Caenorhabditis elegans: one gene and its partners. The protein of the gene in region 4 interacts with the protein of the main gene of each other region in a pairwise test. Each region holds a gene or a part of one and is shown on either strand. Other genes may lie near its edges. The genes, in order: smg-3, let-92, Y61A9LA.3 and smg-2.

Region 1 (4,688 bases), on a different chromosome or scaffold from region 4:
TTCAAGACTAGATCTTCATCACACAGCTCAAAACTGTAGAGCTCTGCAAGATAAACGGCGGCAGAATGAGCCCATTGATTGTAGACTCCAGGATTTTCCAAGGATATTCTGGAAATAACTCTTATGCTTGCTGCTTGAACTGGAAACGAGAGATGCGCGGCACATTTACAAAACGATATTCTCTCATTGTCGTGCCGAAATATTTTTTTCGGAAATTTTAATAGAAATAAAGATAAACATGTATAGTTTCTAAGAATAATGTTACTTTCAATTGAAAGTTTTGGGAAGTTGCTCAAAAACTAACACAACCGTACGATGCAGTATTAATATTTGAATCAGGGGTGTGCGGCAAATCTCAAAATTTGTCGAGCTCGGCAAGTTCGGCAAATTCGGCAAATTTGCCGCACACCCCTGATTTGAATCAATGGGCAATGCCTCGAAACTTTTCATTGAGAGCAATTTTTTTCAGAAAGTACAAAAAAAGTTATATATATATTTCTGTGTAAATGTGCCGCACATCTCTATCGAAAATCGTTCATACCGAATAGTTTCAATTGTTGAATCAATTACAGCCATTCCAATCCATTGAAGATGTACCAAATTACAGAGACCAGCAATCGCAGATGCCACGTGTTGAAGATTTTCAATGGGAAGAAGCCACGTGGAGGAGAGATAACGAATTGCATAATCAGCAACTTCTGGATCATACCATTCAAGCCTCCGAAGACATTTTAAGAAAACATCAACGGTTGATTCATTGATATCCAGAATTATGTGACGAATAAATCGTTTCATTGGAGTATCCTCTTCGTCTAGCTTCAAACGAAGACGTTCTTCTTTTGAATCTTCTGGTGGAAGGCAGGTGAAATACGCATTGTCTATGAGCATCTGAAATATCGAAATTGAATTAATATTATGATGTAGTTCATCTAAACATACCGCTTGTCTTTGATCTTTCATTCGTTCTCGTTTCGCCTTCACAACTTCCAATAATCTCTTCATTTTTGCATGTGATTCAGTATGTCTATACAGATAAAGACCACTAGATTCCATGAATGTCGCTGTCATTTCTACAGAATGTCCACGTAAATCATACACAAGTTGTCTCAAACAACTGAGTCCTTCAGCACGAGAAATTACTCCAAACTTCATCAGTTCAGCTATCATCATCACGCAAACCATCTTTGATTCCACTTTGATTATAGCAGTAGCTGACGATGGTTTCTGTTGCAAAAATCCGCGGAATTTCTCGAGTAGTTGAGTTACGATTTCAGTTGTCAAATCAGGCATCACATTCTCGAGAGTAGCGACAAGTCGGGCATAAAATGGAACAACATCGATCCGAGACGGAGGTGGATCGATCATAAGCTTCACAAGCCTCTTGCGACAACCCTTATTATTCAGATTCGAAACAAAATAAATAGCTGCTTGGTCAGTTGAGTACTTGCTGACAAGATGATCCAAATCAAGTACAAAACTTTGCCATTTGCTGACTCCTCGTTCTTCGGATGCATCCACAGCTTCTTTGAGAAGAGCTTGAAGTTGAGAATCTTCTGGTGTCGTCTCCTTTTCAGACTCTCCACGTTGTAATGATGATCTCTTCGCATCCATTGCTCCGGATTCATTGATATTTTCCATATCGACATCTTCAATCCTTTCAGCCATCTTCGCTTTGCTGAGAGTTCTCTGTTCAGATTCTTTATAAAGATCCTTGGGAACCATCTGTCGAAGATCGATAAGATCCTCGTAGAATGCCTTCGTCTCTTCATCACTCCACAGCTTGATTGCTCCTTCTGCAAGTTTGCGTCCCATCTGAAATATAGAATAAGTTCAAGTTTTTGGTCGAATCAAAAAACCTCCAAGTTGGCAGCTTCATCCTCTTCATCGTCACTAGCTTCCTCTTTTAGCGGTTTCATTTCCACACCGATTGCAGACGATATCTCTATAGCCTAAAATGAGGGGTTTTCTCAAATTTTCCTATTGGGTAATTAATTTTTGTACCATTTTCCGCAGAGAATCCAATTCAGACTGAAGATCATTCAAAGTTGTCTTTTCCTCATCACCAGCGTCTCCACGGCTTCTTTCCTGTCGTTTAACTCTCTTCATCGCCTTATTTCTTGCCGAACACGTTTTCTCGGTTTTCGAATAAAGTGAATCGTAGTATGATTTGAAGAGCTCACGAATCGACTTTTTCTGTTCAACTGAGAGAGCTGATGACTCAGGGAGTTCTTCTGAAAACATTGATAATGAATATACGCTCCTGATTAAAAAGATAACAACCGTCTTGAATCTCGACCGTTTCAGCATCATCCATTGGAATTGGCACAATATTTGCAATTTGCCATCCAACAGTTCTAGATACTGTAGCCAATAATCCAACATTGACAAAATCAGTCTTATCTGTTTGAATCAAATAACTTAATACAGCACCGAGAACTTGAAGTCCTTCCTTTTCATTGAAAACTCCACACAGGCAAAGTTCAGCGAGGAAGCTGGAAATATTTTATTTATTCTCAGATGAAAACTGTCTTATTAATGCAATCTAACATAATATCCACTCTCAATTTTGCAACATTTGCAATTTTGTCACTCTTTTTAACAGGAAGAACTTTTTTGAATTCCCCAGCCATCTGTTCACTGAAGTTTGAATATTTCGCAGAAATTGCAAGGCAGAGCTCTGTTACTTTCGGAATATCGGATAACTTCAATTTTGTCTCTATAATTCCCTGAAAAATTATCCGATTTTCAATGGAATTCGAAATCAAGAACCCACCGACGCCATTTCCTCAACAAATTTGCTTAAATTCAATTTCGATAATTCTTCAATTAATTGTGGAACAGTGGCCGCACTGAGAAGCTTCACTTTTTTCATAAAACTCGTCGTCTTTTTCAATGTTGAATCTAAACTTCGCAATTCTTTTTCGTTATCGAGCAAAGTTTCTCGAATCTCGACCATTTGAAGACGACTTGTTTCTTGATATTTTACACGCTTTTTCAGCTCTTCCAGCCATGATGTCTCGACTTTTCGCCGCATCTGCATAGACTGTGATAGAGAATCGTCATTTTACAAAATAAAGTGTACACTCAAGTATATAATTGAACATTCCAACATTCTATGAAACAACCAAGAAGTGAAATAATTATCCATGTCTCATTTCCTAATTAAAAAGAAATAAGAATTTCCAAATTGTAACATATTAAAACGCGGGGCGAACAGCCATTAAATATCAAAAAGGATACAGAAAAAAAAAACAATGAAAGTCTCAAATTCAGAAATCTATTAATTAATAAAAATTGTGTAGGAAGATCAAAGCATGATATTTTGATAGTTGAACAGAACAGAGGTAAAATAAGACGTTCGCGTTGGAAAATCATGAGAACAAGATAATAAATAACCGAGACCTCGGAGAACAGAGAAAAAAGTAAAGTGATACACTAGATTATAAGGAACAATGCTCATTTGTCTGGAAAATCGAAAGAACTGGGATTTTGGCAGGAACAGAAAAAAGGAAGTCAGAAGTGAAAAGAAAAAAAAGAAGATAATTAATATCCACTTCGATGATCTCCAGCTCCAGCTCCCCATCCTCCATAAGCACTGTGATGAGACGGTTGTTGTTGCTGAGCCCATGTTGGCTGTGAGTCTCTAGGTTCTCTTTGACGATCGTAAGCTCCTCCAGCAGATGCTCCATACGAATATGATTCGCCTGATCCATATGCAGAATGAGCAGCTGTGGGATATGTGGATGCAGGTTCTGCAGAATACGCAGACTGTGCTTGTGAAGCATAATAAGCATCCCAGCTTGCAGCATAACCTCCGGCAGCACTGCTCTGATCATAACTCGGACCAGTAGATGCTGCTCCATAACTTCCCCACGTATCAGGAGCCCGGCCATGCGCAGCTGGTGGTGCACGAATTGGAGCACTGCGTGGTGGGATGCCTCGTGGTTCATATTTGGGTTCTATATCGTATCCTCGTGGTTCCCGTGGGCCATATGGATCCCTTGATTCTCTGTATGATGGTGGCATAGCTTGAGGACCTGCCCTGTAGCCAGAGTCTCGTTGTGGTGGCCCTCCGCCACGTCTTCCTCCGTTAAGAATCGGATCAGGCGCTGGAGCAGCTGATGCATTCGTGCCACTTGTTTCTTTCCAAAGAAGACGACGCATTGGACCAGGCGCTCCACGATTATCAAACAGTTCGACATATCTACAAATAACAATAATTATTCCATGTTCTGATTATAAATTTCAAATTACCGTCTTCCCATTCTTTGATTGTTACGCGAGAGAGCGACTTGAAGATCGTTGTAATTGTCAAATTCCGCAATAGCATCTCCAGATGGACGACCAGTTTCGTTGATTCCTATTTTGACTGAATGGCATCGAAGTGGAGAAAAAAAAGCAGCGATAGCATGATCATCAGCATCATAAGGAAGACCACGCATATACACCTGAAAAATAAAATAATTTATTTTACAATCGCAGAAAAATACTCATACCCTCAGCGGATCATCGCCTCCTCTTCCATAATCACTGCGACCTCCTTGATCGTGTCCACCATTGTATCCATAATCCCGACGTCCGCCATAACTTCCACGATTGTAGTCATCATAACCACGATCATAGCTGCTGTCGCCGTATCTTCCACCACCACCTCGTCTTCCGTGGTCATATCCTGAATCCACGGACAT
Region 2 (4,481 bases), on a different chromosome or scaffold from region 4:
GAATTTTTCAAAAATAAAATTAAAAAAGAAAACTTATAGAAACTGTATGTTTCCGCTTTTTTAAAGGGAGAACCAAAATTGAGAAATAGTCTCGCCGCGCGTCAGTGTTTATTTGTTTTCGTGTACGCGCCTTTAAGATTACTGTAGGAAATTTATCCAATTTTTTGTATTTTTTGAGAAAATTGGATCAACTCGAAAAAAATCACAATTAGCAGTTTTTGTTTTATTATAAATTATTTTTTGTTTTATTACAAATTATTATTACCAAGCTGTGCAAAAAAATGTCAAAGTTTTTTTTAGCAAAAACTTACTATTTACGGCGAGCCATTCATTTTTATCTTCCCCTGGTGGAAGTTTCAGAGCGTCACGAAGATTTCCACTTCCTAACGTTGAAACTGCCATTGGATTGCACCATGATGAACTTGGTTCACTCATTTTCTGGAACCAAAATAATTCGATTTAAAGTTTTTTCTTTCACCAAGACAAGTATTGTTTTATGCTTTCTACATTGCAATCGAAAATTCAAAACTTTGATGTGGACACAGTTTATTGATCATTGATGATAAACAAAATGTTGATGGGGCAAAAATAATATTATAATTAAACAAAATGGGGGAATAAAATAGTGGAAAAGGGAGAGATGTTGTCCATTCGCATTTTGTGATAATAATCATAAGAAACAAGGAAGACGGGAAGTGGTGAAAAGGATGGGATGGAGGGGAAAATAGTGTAAGAATATGGAAGGAAAAGAAAAAGAGTAAAGAAATGTTGGAAGCGAACGCCGTACAGCGCGTGCGCGGAGAAGATCGCAACTTTTCTCACACGGGGATGACTGAAAAGAATATTGATTGCTTCATTGAGTGAAGGAAGAGAACCGAGTGCTAAGGTTGACACGAGATGTCGGAGATATTTTTTCAGTAATGGCTAATGATTCCGCCAAACTCTTCCCACCACATTAATTTACATGAACAATGAAATTTTCATCCCTATCATCGCATCATTTGAGAAGAGAAGCACGGTTTGATCGCCTAAATTTTGGTAGAGGACAAGAGAATGGAACAAAAAAGATAGATGAAGAACACAACAATCATTTCGAGCAACTTCAGAAGAGATGGGATTGTCAAATAGGATGGTGTTGGGCAACGATACAAAAACAACGATATTCTATATAATGACTGAAACGATGAAAAAGAGGAAAAGTGAGAGAAAGTATTGAAATTAATTGGGTAAGGGGGATAATACGGAAAAAAAAGAAAATGAAAACGGCGATTTGAACGGAGGTATCTATCTACAGGAAGTAGTCAGGCGTTCTGCGAGTAACATGTGGTTCTCCTCTTCGAGGGGCAGGGTCGAATTGCAAGAACGAATATTTGAGATCGTCGTCCAGCTCCACCATCGCTGCCTGATTTCCACAACGATAGCAGTAGTTTGGTGCTGAGAACACTGTTACCACGTTACGATCGTGACTCCAGTTGTATCCCTAAACATATTTATATCATTGCAAAATTATATCGATTTGAAATAATTTCTCACCTCCATGACAAGTTGATGGGCCCGAGAAATTAGAGTAAGTCCATTGGAATGGTTGAACGTCTCCGAGATATCCTGACCGAATGTGTATCCTGCTCCACGTGGAGAGATTCCCCAGCCACCTCTGTCATCTGGATCAGACCAGAGAAGATCGCACATTGGTCCTTCGTGTGGAACCTTTAAAAATATATGATTTTCGGTGATGAAAATGTTAGAACTTTTCTATTATTGAAATATTTCAGGCTAGTAACTATTAAAGGTAGATTTCCACAATAACTTACCTCTTGAATGCGGTCAAGAGCTCTGATGTGATCAAGAGTATCAATAGACGGTGAAAGACCTCCGTGAAGGCAGAAGATTTGACCATCAACAAGAGCGGTAAGTGGGAAACAGTCGAAGAGATCAGTGAAGTACTTCCACACATTCGAGTTTCCATATTTCCTCAAACACTCGTCATAGAACCCGTAGACCTAACAAGAAAATAATAATTTTTGAAATAAATTGATTTTAATTACCTGAGTGATTTGTCGCGACTCGTGATTTCCGCGGAGCAGTGTTACTCGATCCTTGTATCGAATCTGAATTTTTAAAGATGTTATAATAATTTCCATACTATATTGTGATAACTGTACCTTCAAACAGACAAGCAGACTAACTGTTTCGACGGAATAATACCCCCGGTCGACGTAGTCTCCCATGAAAAGGTAATTCGTGTCAGGACTCTTTCCACCCATTTTGAACAGCTCCATCAGATCGTGGAATTGACCGTGAACGTCACCACACACTGTCACAGGGCACCGGACTTCTTGCACATTCGGCTCTTTTTCCAAGATCTCTTTCGCCTTAAAAAAATTAATTTTTGACAATCACAAAACTGTATCAACAAACCTTTTCGCATAACGTTTTGACTTGATTCTCCGATAGTGGTTTACATTCGTATAACTGCTCAATCCACTGATCTACATCGACGATTAGTGCTTTATCAAGCGGATCCGCAGATGGTGGGGCAGCAGCCATACTACTGAAAACTTATTTGTTGGTCAAGAAATTAGAAGTATAAAAAAGTTTGAATGATAAGAACGCATAGAGAAAGAAGAAAGACAACGTGGGCAGCTATAGCAACGGAGCACGAGTCGGAGAAAGCGTGAAGAGCAGAAACTCACGCTGTTGCCTCACAGTCAATACTTTTCAGCGGATTCTTCTTTCCGTATAAACTGATAGGATTGCAAGACAAAAGGGATTAAGTGCCCCTTGCTCCAACAGCATCTTATAACGAAAAAGAAAACGTCACAATTGGAGGAGAGACAGTTAATGAAATGATGTAAAGCACAAGTTTTAAAAAAGACGGAAAATCAATCGTGAACAGGTTAAGAAAAGAAAACAAGAACATAGAAATAAAATGTGTAGTTTTTATGGATTATTTTTCAATGTTACTAAATGCCAGACCGGATTAGTTACTAGTGTCAAAAAGTGTCCATTCTCAATTTTAGACGAAGAAGTGAAAGATGAACAACAATCACGCGCTGAAAAATATTCATAGGAAAAAGAGGAAATCGATAACTCGCTGTTTGCGTTTCTACCTCCCACCAAACCATACGGAATTTCATTCCGTTCCGATAAGGCAAAGAACAAATGTTGTTAATTATGTTTCACAATAGGGGTCAATCTATGTTCTAACGAGAATTAAAATATTTTAATTGTTAGGCAAACGTTGATACGGTAAAAAACCTAATTATGTAACTGAAACTCTTCAAATGAAAAAAAAAATCATAAAACTGTGTTTTTTTTGCCTTATTTTCGGTGAATCATAATCAATATTCAATGGGCAAAAGCCAATTGTAATGGGAACACGTGAGAACGGAATAAATGAATTTAACATTAGTGGAAGACATCAAAATGATAGAGAACGCGGGATGATCGAGTACGACAAAATTGTTGTTTTGTGAGGAGAGCGAGGCGGAGAAAGCAGGGCTGCAGAGAGATGCGGGGCCCGCCAATTGGGCAGTGACGGAGGATCAGACGACAGATAGCGAAGGAGCAGCGGCACTCCTGTGCTATAACCAGCCGAGGAACCAATCGCATTGCGAAAGTGACGGAGAAAGAGATGAAAAAGAAAAGATATAAGGCAGAGGAAAGAGCGACCGCATCGCAAGGGCTCGCGTCGCGGTTCACTGCGCTCTACTGAACACCCTCACTGTCTGTTGTTAACAAGACGGAGAGAAGTGAAGAAGTCCTCTTCCTGAACCGATGTTTTCGTTTATTGGCGTTATCGCTGAAGGCGACAACGACGACAGCAGAGGCGTTGTGTGCAGAAAGGAGGTGTGAAAAGGCGAGGATTTAGAGCTCTGGTGACGTGCTAGGGACGGCCAAGTTATGATAGAGGGGCGTACTGAAAAAAATGTTCGAGGTAGAATATTTCTAGAAAAATACATTTCATAACCCAGCAGAATCATGATGACTCATTTATGCGAAATTTCAGAAAAAACGGTATGTTTTAGAAGATGAAACTATCGATTGGCAACTAACGAAGGTTAATGATGTCCGATTTTTTAAATTATTATGTAACAAAATCATTGTTGAAAAAGACCGAAAACTTCAGACAGAAAAAAAAACTGGTGAGCTAATTATAATTCAAATTAAAAGTAGGAATACGATCTAGCGGAATGACAATAGTTTGTTACTAACGGCTCCAGTAACTGAATCTAGTAAACAATATGATTGAAACCGGAGATTTTCAGCATCAGGTGTTAAAGAATGACATCAAAAACATGCTAGATGATGAATTCAAGAAGGCACTTACATTTTGACGAAACTTTTTGTACATTTTTGAGCTATAAGTCGATTTTTGGAAATTTCTTTTTTGAAAGCTTTCATATCAGCATTAAAATTTAATTAGAAATGATGGTAAAATAAGAAAAAAAATGCACGTTTAATTTTGAAAAGCGTAAAAA
Region 3 (5,047 bases), on a different chromosome or scaffold from region 4:
GAAACCTCAAAACTTTTTCAGCGGTCTCGTTATGAAAATCAGGTAGTTTCAGCATCTAAACAGCATATGTATAATGTTTCAGAAAAAGTTTAGGTTTTGTATTCCCGTAATCCATCATTTTACATTGACCACTTTCACCGCTGCTTGCCGACTGAATACATAATTTTTTGACTTGGAAATTGTTTTAGCATCTGCAAAAAATATTTGGTTTAATTACCCAAGTTTGAGTTTGAGGTACGCCGGTCAACTGCTGCAGGTCATTGGTCATGTCGGAACCACCTCCTCCTCATTCCGCCCCAGTGCCTATGGTGAAGACGGATTTCTTCGCTTTCTCTGGTCCTTATCTCCCGGAGGACGCTCACGGTACGAGTTCTCCGCCGGAGAAACAACAGCAAACCCGGAAGCGCGGTCGCCCGACCGCTCTTGAATTGCTCACTACCCGTGTTGAAGAATTGGAAAAGGAAAATTCGAGCTTGAGAACCTTCCGTACCGCCGCTGAAAGCAGATGTCGTGCCCTGGAGAGCAAACAATCGGAACTCTTCCAAACCGTCGAGCAGCTCAAGGTAGTTGTTGCCAAGCTCACGAACGAATGCTCTGCCCGTGTTACCTCCAATTTGCCCGCTCCACGCCTGTTCGCCGATGTTCTCAAGGGACAATCAGCCGAGAAGAAAGCAGAGATCATTGCAGAAAGACGTGAAGCAGCAGCCAGCATTTCCCTGTTTGAGAAGAAGACTCATTTCGCCGTGATTGAAAATCTACCGGATGATGGCTCGGATTCACAATCCGCCAAGGATAAGGTTTTTCTCGATAATTTAATTGCCGCTAATCCCTCCCTCCCTGTACATATTCAAACTTTCCGCGTCAAAACTCGCAAACCAGTCTTATCCCGCCCAACAAAAATTCGTTTCTCTTCTGAAGCCGACCGCAATTCGTTCATTTTCTCTTTCTCCAAAACTCTCCGTTCGTTGCCTGATCGCCCCACTAACCTTCCAAGACCCATCCGCTGCAGACGCGATATGACCAACGATGTTATCTATCCTGAGAGAGTTGAGAGCTGACGCTTATAACAGAAATACCCAAGCTGGCGAGATTCGTTATTATGTGCGCGACCTTAAGATTGTGACTCTCTCGTCACCGCGTCCACTTCCTATCTCTGTTGATTCGGCTGCTCCCGTTGCTAACGCATAGGTAAACGGCCACCGGGCTTTATTATCGTCTTGTCCGTCCATTGCTTCTCAAAGTGTGTCTTTCAAAGGTGTAATTTATCGTACGCGTCATACAGTAGCAGGCTTTCCCAATTTAATTTATTGTCTACCCACCATAGACGGGTTCTTCAAATCCTCCGAACCTTCCATAAAATTATTTCAAGCGAGTATCACTTCCCGTCCTTATCATCGTTCGTTCGAGCTTCACGCTCTACTCGTCACCCCTATCTACTTGTTGTCTGTGGCGTCCCGTCTAAATGTTTTCTACATGTTAACTTGTCGTTGTGGAACCGAATAGCAAAACGTTTCCCTAAACTGTTAACTCCAAATGCATTTGCGTCGCGCCTAGGCTCTATCCCATTTGACACCCTCTTCCCCCCAACTTGACCTCCCGGGCTATAGCTGGTCCAATTGGTCATTTTATTTATCTGTCCACACATCTTTTTTATTTTACTTTTTTTCTTTGTCTTCCGGTGTAGCTATTTCTTGTGGCAAATAAACAATTATTATTACTTTTCCGAATTTTTGAATCGCCATCACTTTTTTGAGAAATTTTCGGCAGTTTCGGGCCATTTTGGGTCCAGTCTAAAAACGTACCACTGATAACTTGAATTTCTGGAGATGCAGACCGACTTCTCGCGATTTCCATTTCTCCGCCAATGTGCTCAAAGTCTAGTCTCGGCTGAAACTATTTAATTCGTGAATTTTCATCAAAATCCGAAAAAAAAGTCTAAAAACCAGAAAAACCACATCGCAACCAATCAGCGATTCGCTCCGCCCATCCTTCAACCAATCAGATTGAGTGGGCGGAGTTCGAAGTCGTTGATTGGTCGGGGAATTCTCGTTTTGAAGTCAATTCTCAAAATGAGGATTCCCCGACTTCGAACTCCGCCCACTCCATCTGATTGGTTCAAAGATGGGCGGAGCGAATCGCTGATTGGTCGGGGAGTTTTGGAGGGAATTTCAGCGAAAATTGAGTTTTTAAGTTGGATTTTTTGAACTTTTCGACTCAAAATCGCGCTCCTTACATGTCTGAGCAACGGCTGTCTCCCTTCATTTCTTCCCATCGTCGTCAAATCCTCTCCAAACGGCCCCTTATCGAAACCACGTCTTCTCGAATTATCCACTACGGGTCCATTATAGGTGTCCACCACCGGCTGAAATCCGTGATACGGATCACTTCCTCCAAGAATTGCAGCTCTCATAGAAGGAACCGGCGGGCCAGGACGTCTATCGAAATCGCCACGTCTAGCATCACTGAAAAAATATAAAAAAATGAGTTTTATTTTTTTTTCCCGGAAAATCCGGATTTTTTCATCCTCAGAGGTGAGGTACCGAAATTTGAGACTTTGCTTTTTAGACCCAAAATGGTCCAAAACTACCGAATTTCGTAATGAGACGTTCTGAAAATATTTCAAAAAAAAAGTTATGACCGCTCGAAAATTTTGGAAAAAATGGCCAATTTTTAGCTAAAATCTCAAATTTTTTCCAACTTCTCGGTGTTGCAGCGGTTAGAACTTAATTATTATTTTTTTATCACTTTTTAATAAATATTGTGGTCTTTGATTAGGCGTTTATTCGTTGATTTAAGTACATTTATGGTCAGTGGGGCACAAAATTTAACTTTTATTTGTGCCCCACTGACCATAAATGTACTAATCAATGAATAAACGCCCAATCAAAGACCACAATATTTATTTAAAAGTGATAAAAAAAATAATAATTAAGTTCTAACCGCTGCGACACCGAGAAGTTGGAAAAAATTTGAAAAAAAAACGGCTCACATTGGAATATGCGGAGGAATTATCCGATTTGGAACATGTTCGTACGACGAATGTCGCATGTCTCTAGCTGGAAAAAAAAACCGGAAATTCGTGGACAAGAACGGATTTGAGGAGGAAAAACGAGGGGAGACGCAGACAGAAATGCACGCAGCCACAGAAAATCGATAGTTTTCCACGAAATCAGTCTAGAAATATTTGGAAAAAAATTATTTCAAGGATGGAAATTGCTGGTAAAACTGTGAAAGTGCTTCAAAAATCGATTGAAAATGAAAAAAAATCTAAATATTAAATTTCATTAAATTCTCTCAATTTCTAGTTGTTTTTGGTGATTAAATGAACAAAATATGCATTTTTTCGGCAAAAAAAATCCGAAAATCTGAAATTTTAAGCTCGAAAACCTAAGAAACTCTCTGAAAATCGATAAAAACAAGAAATCATAAATTTCAATCTATTTTCAGTTATTTTTGGTGATTAAATAAACCAAATACACATTTTTCCGGCAAAAAACCCTGAAATCCTCTGAAAATCGATTAAAACTTAAAAAAAAATGAAGCGTCCGTAAAAATAAAGAAAAATCATAAATTCCAGCGATTTTCTTAATTTCTAGTTATTTATAATGATTAATTGAACAAAATAGGCATTTTTCGACAAAAAACCCTTAAAATCTTCAATTTTAACACAGAAAACCTGAGAAATCCTCTGCAAATCGATTAAAAAACACAAAAACCTTTTATGCAAAAATCTGCATTTTGTCGTCACAGTGTGTGCATACTTTACACCGAATCTTACGACAAATAATTGTCGCTGCTGGCATTGTGAGAGAGAAAGGGATACACGTGATTTTCGTATAATTCCGATTCGTTTTCCCTGAATTTTTCTAATTAATTTATTGAATTATTTTAAATTATTGATTTTCTGTCAATTTTCACACAAAAATTGCCGCTGATTTATTCAAAGTGTCGGTTTTTATCCCGTTATTTGAATATTTTCGAAAAACCAGATTATTTGTGGTTTTAGTGATTTTTAGTGAACTTCCGGAAGTTTCTTGAGCCAATATAACTTTGAAATCAGTTTTTAAAGCTTACTATGACATTATTATCTTAAAAATTGGAACAAAAATTGTGATATTTAGCTTATTGATTTTTTTTTGGTTTTCAGATATAATCTGTTCGAAATGAATACTCAAACAGGGACAGGAACCTCAGAAGTGTCGAAAAAACTAAAGGTAACGTTAAATAAGTTAATAAATTTCAAAAATCGCAAAAATTAATAATTTTTTAATTCAGGCCGCGATTCGAGCCAAACTTGAAGAGCTCGGCGTCTACGTGGACGATGAATTACCCGATTATATTATGGTAATGATTGCGAATAAGAAGGAAAAAGTGCAGATGAAGGACGATCTCAACTTATTTATCGGAAAAAGCACTGCGAAATTCGTCGACTGGCTTTTTGATCTGTTCGATCGCCTACAAAACGCTTCGAACAAGCAAGGAGAGACTAGTAAAAAGGAGGAGGATAAGAGAAAAGAGCTGGAAGCAACAGCAGCAGCAAAGGAGCATGAAGAGAAACGAAGAAAAGAGAAGGAAGAGCATGAGAAAGAACTGTAAGTGCCGAGCGAAGGAATAAGAAATAATTAAAAATTGAAAATTTCAAAAATTCCAGGCAAAAAGAAAAAGAACGTGAGAAGGAGCGTCAACGAGAACGTGATCGTGAAAAGCGGGCCGAAGAGGAGAAGCGTCGTGAGGAGAAGAGAAAAGAGATTCAGAGGTAGTTTTCTGATAGAACACAGAATATTTCGGGATCACAAAATTCTGAGAATGCGTATTGCGCAGCATATTTGACGCGCAAAATATCTCGTAGCGAAAACTACAGTACTCTCTCTCTCTTTAAAGGAGGACTAACGGTTCGGACTCAAAATGAGCTCAATCACGCTCTCCTCAAAGCTGATTAATCATTAGAGCGCGCTCCGCCTCTATTTCTGTGCGACGCTGCTTTTTTTGTGCAAAATTCAAGAATTAAAGGTGGTGTATTCAAAATTTTTATTGTTTTATTAGACTT
Region 4 (4,584 bases):
CGTTGAAATTACTGGAAAATACAATTTATATCAGGAAAAATCTCCAAAAAAAAAATTTTGGACAGTTATTTCTTGAAAATTCCAAGAAAAACTACTCAAAATTTTTATTTTTATTTTTCCCATCCCTTACTATCAGGAATCTTGAAAACACTTCCAATCTTGGTCCATTCCGATCCATCAACCGTCTGAGAATGTTTCAATCGAAGTTCATCGCCTTTCGCAAGCTTCATGACACCATCAGCAAATTGTGGAAGATGAAAGAACGCGAGAACCGATTGACGAAGTCCTTGTTCCCATCTAACAGTTCCGACTGCTTGTGATGCTGATTCTTTAACTCTTCGATCATATTCTGCTTCAATTGCAACTAATGGACGGAACACTTTCGAATAGTGATGAGCATCCACATATCTTAATTGAACATGATCCGGTTCTCGATCGAGTCCCGGTTTATTTAAATCGTCAACGGTTGCTTCTGGGTGATCACGCCAGAGCTCTTCCATTCGGACTGCTTGGGTAGCACTGGAAAATTTAGTTTTTCATATATATATATATATATATATAGCTATTTAAAAGTACTATACCACTTGTGTTTTTCCGGCTTTTTGCACCAATGCCGGTAGAAATTGAGAATTTTTTGCACGAAAATTCGAAAAAAAATTCAATTTTCAATTTCTTTTGGAAACTGGGAATAGATTTTTTATCAACAAAAAAATCGAAGCTATAGAAATATTAAAGGTGGTGTAGTCGAATTTTTTAAAATTGCTTTATTCAACTCAGAAAACACCGAATTTCATAGTGAAACTTCTCAAAAAACAAGTTATGACGGTTCAAAAAATGGCCTAAAATTAGTTAAAATTTGAAATTTGACCGACTTGTAAAGCGGCTGGAAACTATTTTTTTTTTGTAACCACCGTCAAATTTTGAGTATACAATTTAATTATCTTGCGTTTTCAACTCGATTTAGGTATTTTAAAGTCGATGGACGGCGAGATTTAGTTAAAAATTGTTAAAATTCGATCGCTCGGAAATTGCATTTTTGGTTGGAAATTCCTTTAATTATTATTTTAAAATTTTTCTCAAAAATCGATTTTCCTCCACTAACGTGATTTTCCTAGCTCTGGCCACCTGCTCCTCGCTGGGCACATTAACAATCCACGATAGCAGCTGTTTTTCAGCGATTACAGATTTCCAGTCCTCGGGCGACCAATTATCATCATTCTGGAATGCAATACTGGCGCACGGTGTTCTACAGATTATCACGACGACTTGATCCTTTTTTCCGGGGATGAAGCCGAGATTAAACACGTTTTTCGAACCACAACGATAGCATTCCAATTGAGTGTCACCACACGGTGAATCCTTATGCGTGTAGGCTTCCTTATGCTGACTCCGAACCATATGATGAACAATATGCCCGCCCGACGTTCCATCATTGGAATTACAGAACCATTTCCTGCAGACTGTGCATTTGGCGACACACAGAGGATCAGAGATTCCACAATAGCGACACGCGTGCTCCGGCAGCTTCTGCTGCTGCTGCTCTTCTGTCAGTGATTTTTCACTGTCCGACTCGTCGTCTTCCACGTCGTGAAATGGCAAATCGTTGGTGGTTCCATCGGTTCCTCCTGGCAGCAGATCTGTCGCCTGGAATATGGGTTTTTTTTTGTTGAGAATTTTGAAAAATTGACAAAAAAAATTGATTTTAAGGGACTTTTCTATGATTTTCTTGGTTTTTTTCCACTGAAATTTCCACTTTCAGAGGATTTTGAATAAAAATTTATTTAAAATTAAGATCTGTCGCCTGGAATAGGTGTTTTTTTTTGAGAGTCGAATTTTTAAAATTGCTTTGGAATTTTCTTGGAATTTTTTGTACGCTTTTGGGTCGATTTTCTTGAAATTAGCACGAAAAATTGTGGGCAAAGTGCTCAAAAATCATCTGAAAATTGCGATAAACAAAAATATTGGAAAAAAAAATCACAATTTCCAAGATTCCTGACAGTAAGGAATGAGAAAAATTCTTTTTAAAACAAGTTTTTGGTGATATAAATTATCTTTTCCAGAGCAAGCTCAACGTTAAGAAAGGTTAGAAAATTAGATTATACTATTACGGGAACACAAAATTCTAAGAATGCGTATTACACAACATATTTGACGCGCAAAATATCTCGTAGCGAAAACTACAGTAATTCTTTAAATGACTACTGTAGTGTCGATTTACGGAATCTCGATTTTGGCGAAGGAAAAATGAAAATCGAGCCCGTAAATCGACCTACAGTAGTCATTTAAAGAATTACTGTAGTTTTCGCTACGAGATATTTTGCGCGTCAAATATGTTGTGCAATACGCATTCTCAGAATTTTGTGTTCCCGTAATAGTATAATCTAATTTTCTAACCTTTTTTAACGTTGAGCTTCTAGAAAATCGTTGATATTGTTGGAAAAGATAATTTATATCACAAAACATCTCCAAAAAAAATTGGACGGTTTGTTTTCTTGAAAATTACAAGAAAAACTAATCGAAAATGGCCAAATTCAAAAAATTTTGCAATTTTTGCACAAAAATCTAATTTTTTCGAGCTTTTGGATCGATTTTTCTTGAAATTTGCACGAAAAATTGATTGGGCAAAGTGGGCAAAAAAGCATCTGAAAATTGCAAATTGACGGGATTATACTCATTTTCGAACAAAAATTGAAAATAAAAATCACAAATTCCATCGGTTTTGTCCATTTTCGAGTGGTTTTTTTTTCATGATTTTCATCGTTTTTTTCAGTGTGTAAAGTCTATCAATTCAAAGGATTTTGAATACAAATTTCTCTGAAAAATCATGTGAAAAACTTGATTTTTCAGCAAAATCCAGAATTTTCCTTCGATTTTTTGACACAAATGCGGCAATTTTCTACCTGAGAACTCTGCGTAGGCACACTAAACTGCTCATAGGCGAACTGAGAGTCCTGCGTGTTCCCAATAGAGACTCCATCGTCCTCGGGATCCACAAATGTGAGGGTTTCCCCGTGGCTTCTCGAATATTCGTCGTCCGAATCGTCCATTACTGGAAGAAAAGTGCGTTTTTGAGGGGTTTTGGAATGAGAAATCGATAGCATTCATGAGAAATTTGTCGGTATTCGAGTAAAATAGGTGAAAAAAGTACAAAAAAGCATTTTTCAAATTGCAAAATCTAACAATGAGCAATATTTCGTAATTTTTTACCACTTTTACACTTATTTTTGCAGATTTTTCATGTAAAAATTCAACATTTTTGCCGAAAATTGGCGGAAAACCTTCGAAAATGAGAACTGTGTTAATTTAATCACAAAGCGGGTGCATTTTTGGAAATTTCAACAATTAAAATTGAAAATTTTCAATTTCCGCTCACTTTTTATCGGAAAAAGGTAAAAATGCCTAAAATTTGAGCTCAAATTTGAAAAACAAACTGAAAAATCCCCCCAACTTTTAAAATGAGCAATATTTCATCATTTTAGATGATTTTAAGCGAAAATTGTGTGATTTTTAACAATTTAACCATGAAAATGCATATTTTTTCAACATTTTCATACAAAAAATGAGGTTTTGTTAGAAAAAATTGCGAAAAACGGTCGAAAAATGAAAAAATATGATAAAAACACCTCATTGCAAGGTGGGCGCACGGTTTTTGCAAGTGTGCCGCACGGAGTTTATGTTTTCTCGATTATTATTTTTCTTGGAAAATCGGAAAAAATCGCTGATAAGAACTGATTTTTATTGATTTGTATTGATTTTTCCTGGTTTTTAATGTCAATTCTATCTAAACTATCCCAAATATCCATCAAAAGCGCCGTGCAAAGCAGCAAACACTGGTAAGATCTGCAAAAATCTGCTGATTTTCCATTTTTCCATATATTTTCCCGTTTTTTGCAGCTTTTCCAGCTATCCATGGCTTCACAAACCGATTTCAAGGACAACAATACTCAAAACATGGCGAATTTGTGGGTTTGGAGCCGGTTTAGGAGCTGTAACCCTACGAAAAGCGGCATGTGCTCCGAAATTGAGCAAACGCATCGACCATTTGAGGACGACGGAGGATCAGAATGCGTCAATGACGGCCGGAGAGCTGTGGAATTTGATTAAACCCTTTTTCGGCTGGTTTTTCGCTGCAGTTGTGGTGAATTTTTCGATAAAAATCCGGTTGAAAACTGGGAAAAATCGAGAAAAATACGTATTTTTATAGTTAACTTACAAAAAATTGTGCAATTTTCACCTAAAATCTTGCTTTTTAATTTTATTTCAGGTTTCCTGTCAATTTTCCAGCAAAAAAACTTTAATTTCCGCATTAATTCGTATGAAATCAATGAAATTTCATAGTTAAATTGGAAAATGGCAACATTTTTGCTTAAAATTTGTAAAAAATCATGTTTTTTGGGCATTTTTGGTGATTTTCTTTCGATTTTTATGATTTTTCGGCGGTTTTTACCCAATTTCATTAGAAAAAATTGAAAAAATCTCAGTTTTCCCCTAATTCCTATTTGAATTTCCGCCAATTGAACTTGTTCGGTGGAGCGCGCTTGCATTATTTTTTTTATCATTATTTCATTGATTTTCTTCATTTTT

The links.
Region 1: the proteins of smg-2 (region 4) and smg-3 interact in a two-hybrid assay, tested with the Caenorhabditis elegans proteins (one study listed by BioGRID).
Region 2: the proteins of smg-2 (region 4) and let-92 interact in a two-hybrid assay, tested with the Caenorhabditis elegans proteins (one study listed by BioGRID).
Region 3: the proteins of smg-2 (region 4) and Y61A9LA.3 interact in a two-hybrid assay, tested with the Caenorhabditis elegans proteins (one study listed by BioGRID).

What each region holds. Positions count from the first base shown.
Region 1 is NC_003282.8:6,370,054-6,374,741, forward strand, and holds the start of smg-3 (MIF4G domain-containing protein), read right to left. Parts: upstream 3,037-4,688; 5' UTR 3,035-3,036; coding exon 2,774-3,034; intron 2,727-2,773; coding exon 2,548-2,726; intron 2,493-2,547; coding exon 2,281-2,492; intron 2,232-2,280; coding exon 2,002-2,231; intron 1,950-2,001; coding exon 1,857-1,949; intron 1,813-1,856; coding exon 940-1,812; intron 889-939; coding exon 542-888; intron 109-541; coding exon 1-108. Other genes in the region: hrpf-2 (RRM domain-containing protein), read right to left, coding at 3,544-4,204, 4,255-4,448, 4,497-4,688.
Region 2 is NC_003282.8:11,856,512-11,860,992, reverse strand, and holds let-92 (Serine/threonine-protein phosphatase 2A catalytic subunit), read right to left. Parts: upstream 2,552-4,481; 5' UTR 2,548-2,551; coding exon 2,419-2,547; intron 2,373-2,418; coding exon 2,163-2,372; intron 2,109-2,162; coding exon 2,046-2,108; intron 2,001-2,045; coding exon 1,812-2,000; intron 1,708-1,811; coding exon 1,534-1,707; intron 1,481-1,533; coding exon 1,289-1,480; 3' UTR 533-1,288; downstream 1-532. Other genes in the region: mob-1 (Mob1/phocein), read right to left, coding at 312-435.
Region 3 is NC_003283.11:4,569,144-4,574,190, reverse strand, and holds the start of Y61A9LA.3 (C2H2-type domain-containing protein), read right to left. Parts: upstream 3,057-5,047; 5' UTR 3,049-3,056; coding exon 2,990-3,048; intron 2,463-2,989; coding exon 2,234-2,462; intron 1,894-2,233; coding exon 1,803-1,893; intron 1,059-1,802; coding exon of another isoform or gene 267-1,058; intron 1-266. Other genes in the region: hpo-39 (uncharacterized protein), read left to right, coding at 267-1,058; sut-2 (Zinc finger CCCH domain-containing protein 14), read left to right, coding at 4,164-4,214, 4,276-4,592, 4,652-4,756.
Region 4 is NC_003279.8:1,174,938-1,179,521, reverse strand, and holds the start of smg-2 (Regulator of nonsense transcripts 1), read right to left. Parts: upstream 3,050-4,584; 5' UTR 3,048-3,049; coding exon 2,901-3,047; intron 1,645-2,900; coding exon 1,103-1,644; intron 520-1,102; coding exon 131-519; intron 1-130. Other genes in the region: haf-6 (Mitochondrial potassium channel ATP-binding subunit), read left to right, coding at 3,769-3,833, 3,895-4,138. UniProt on the Caenorhabditis elegans protein: RNA-dependent helicase required for nonsense-mediated decay (NMD) of aberrant mRNAs containing premature stop codons and modulates the expression level of normal mRNAs.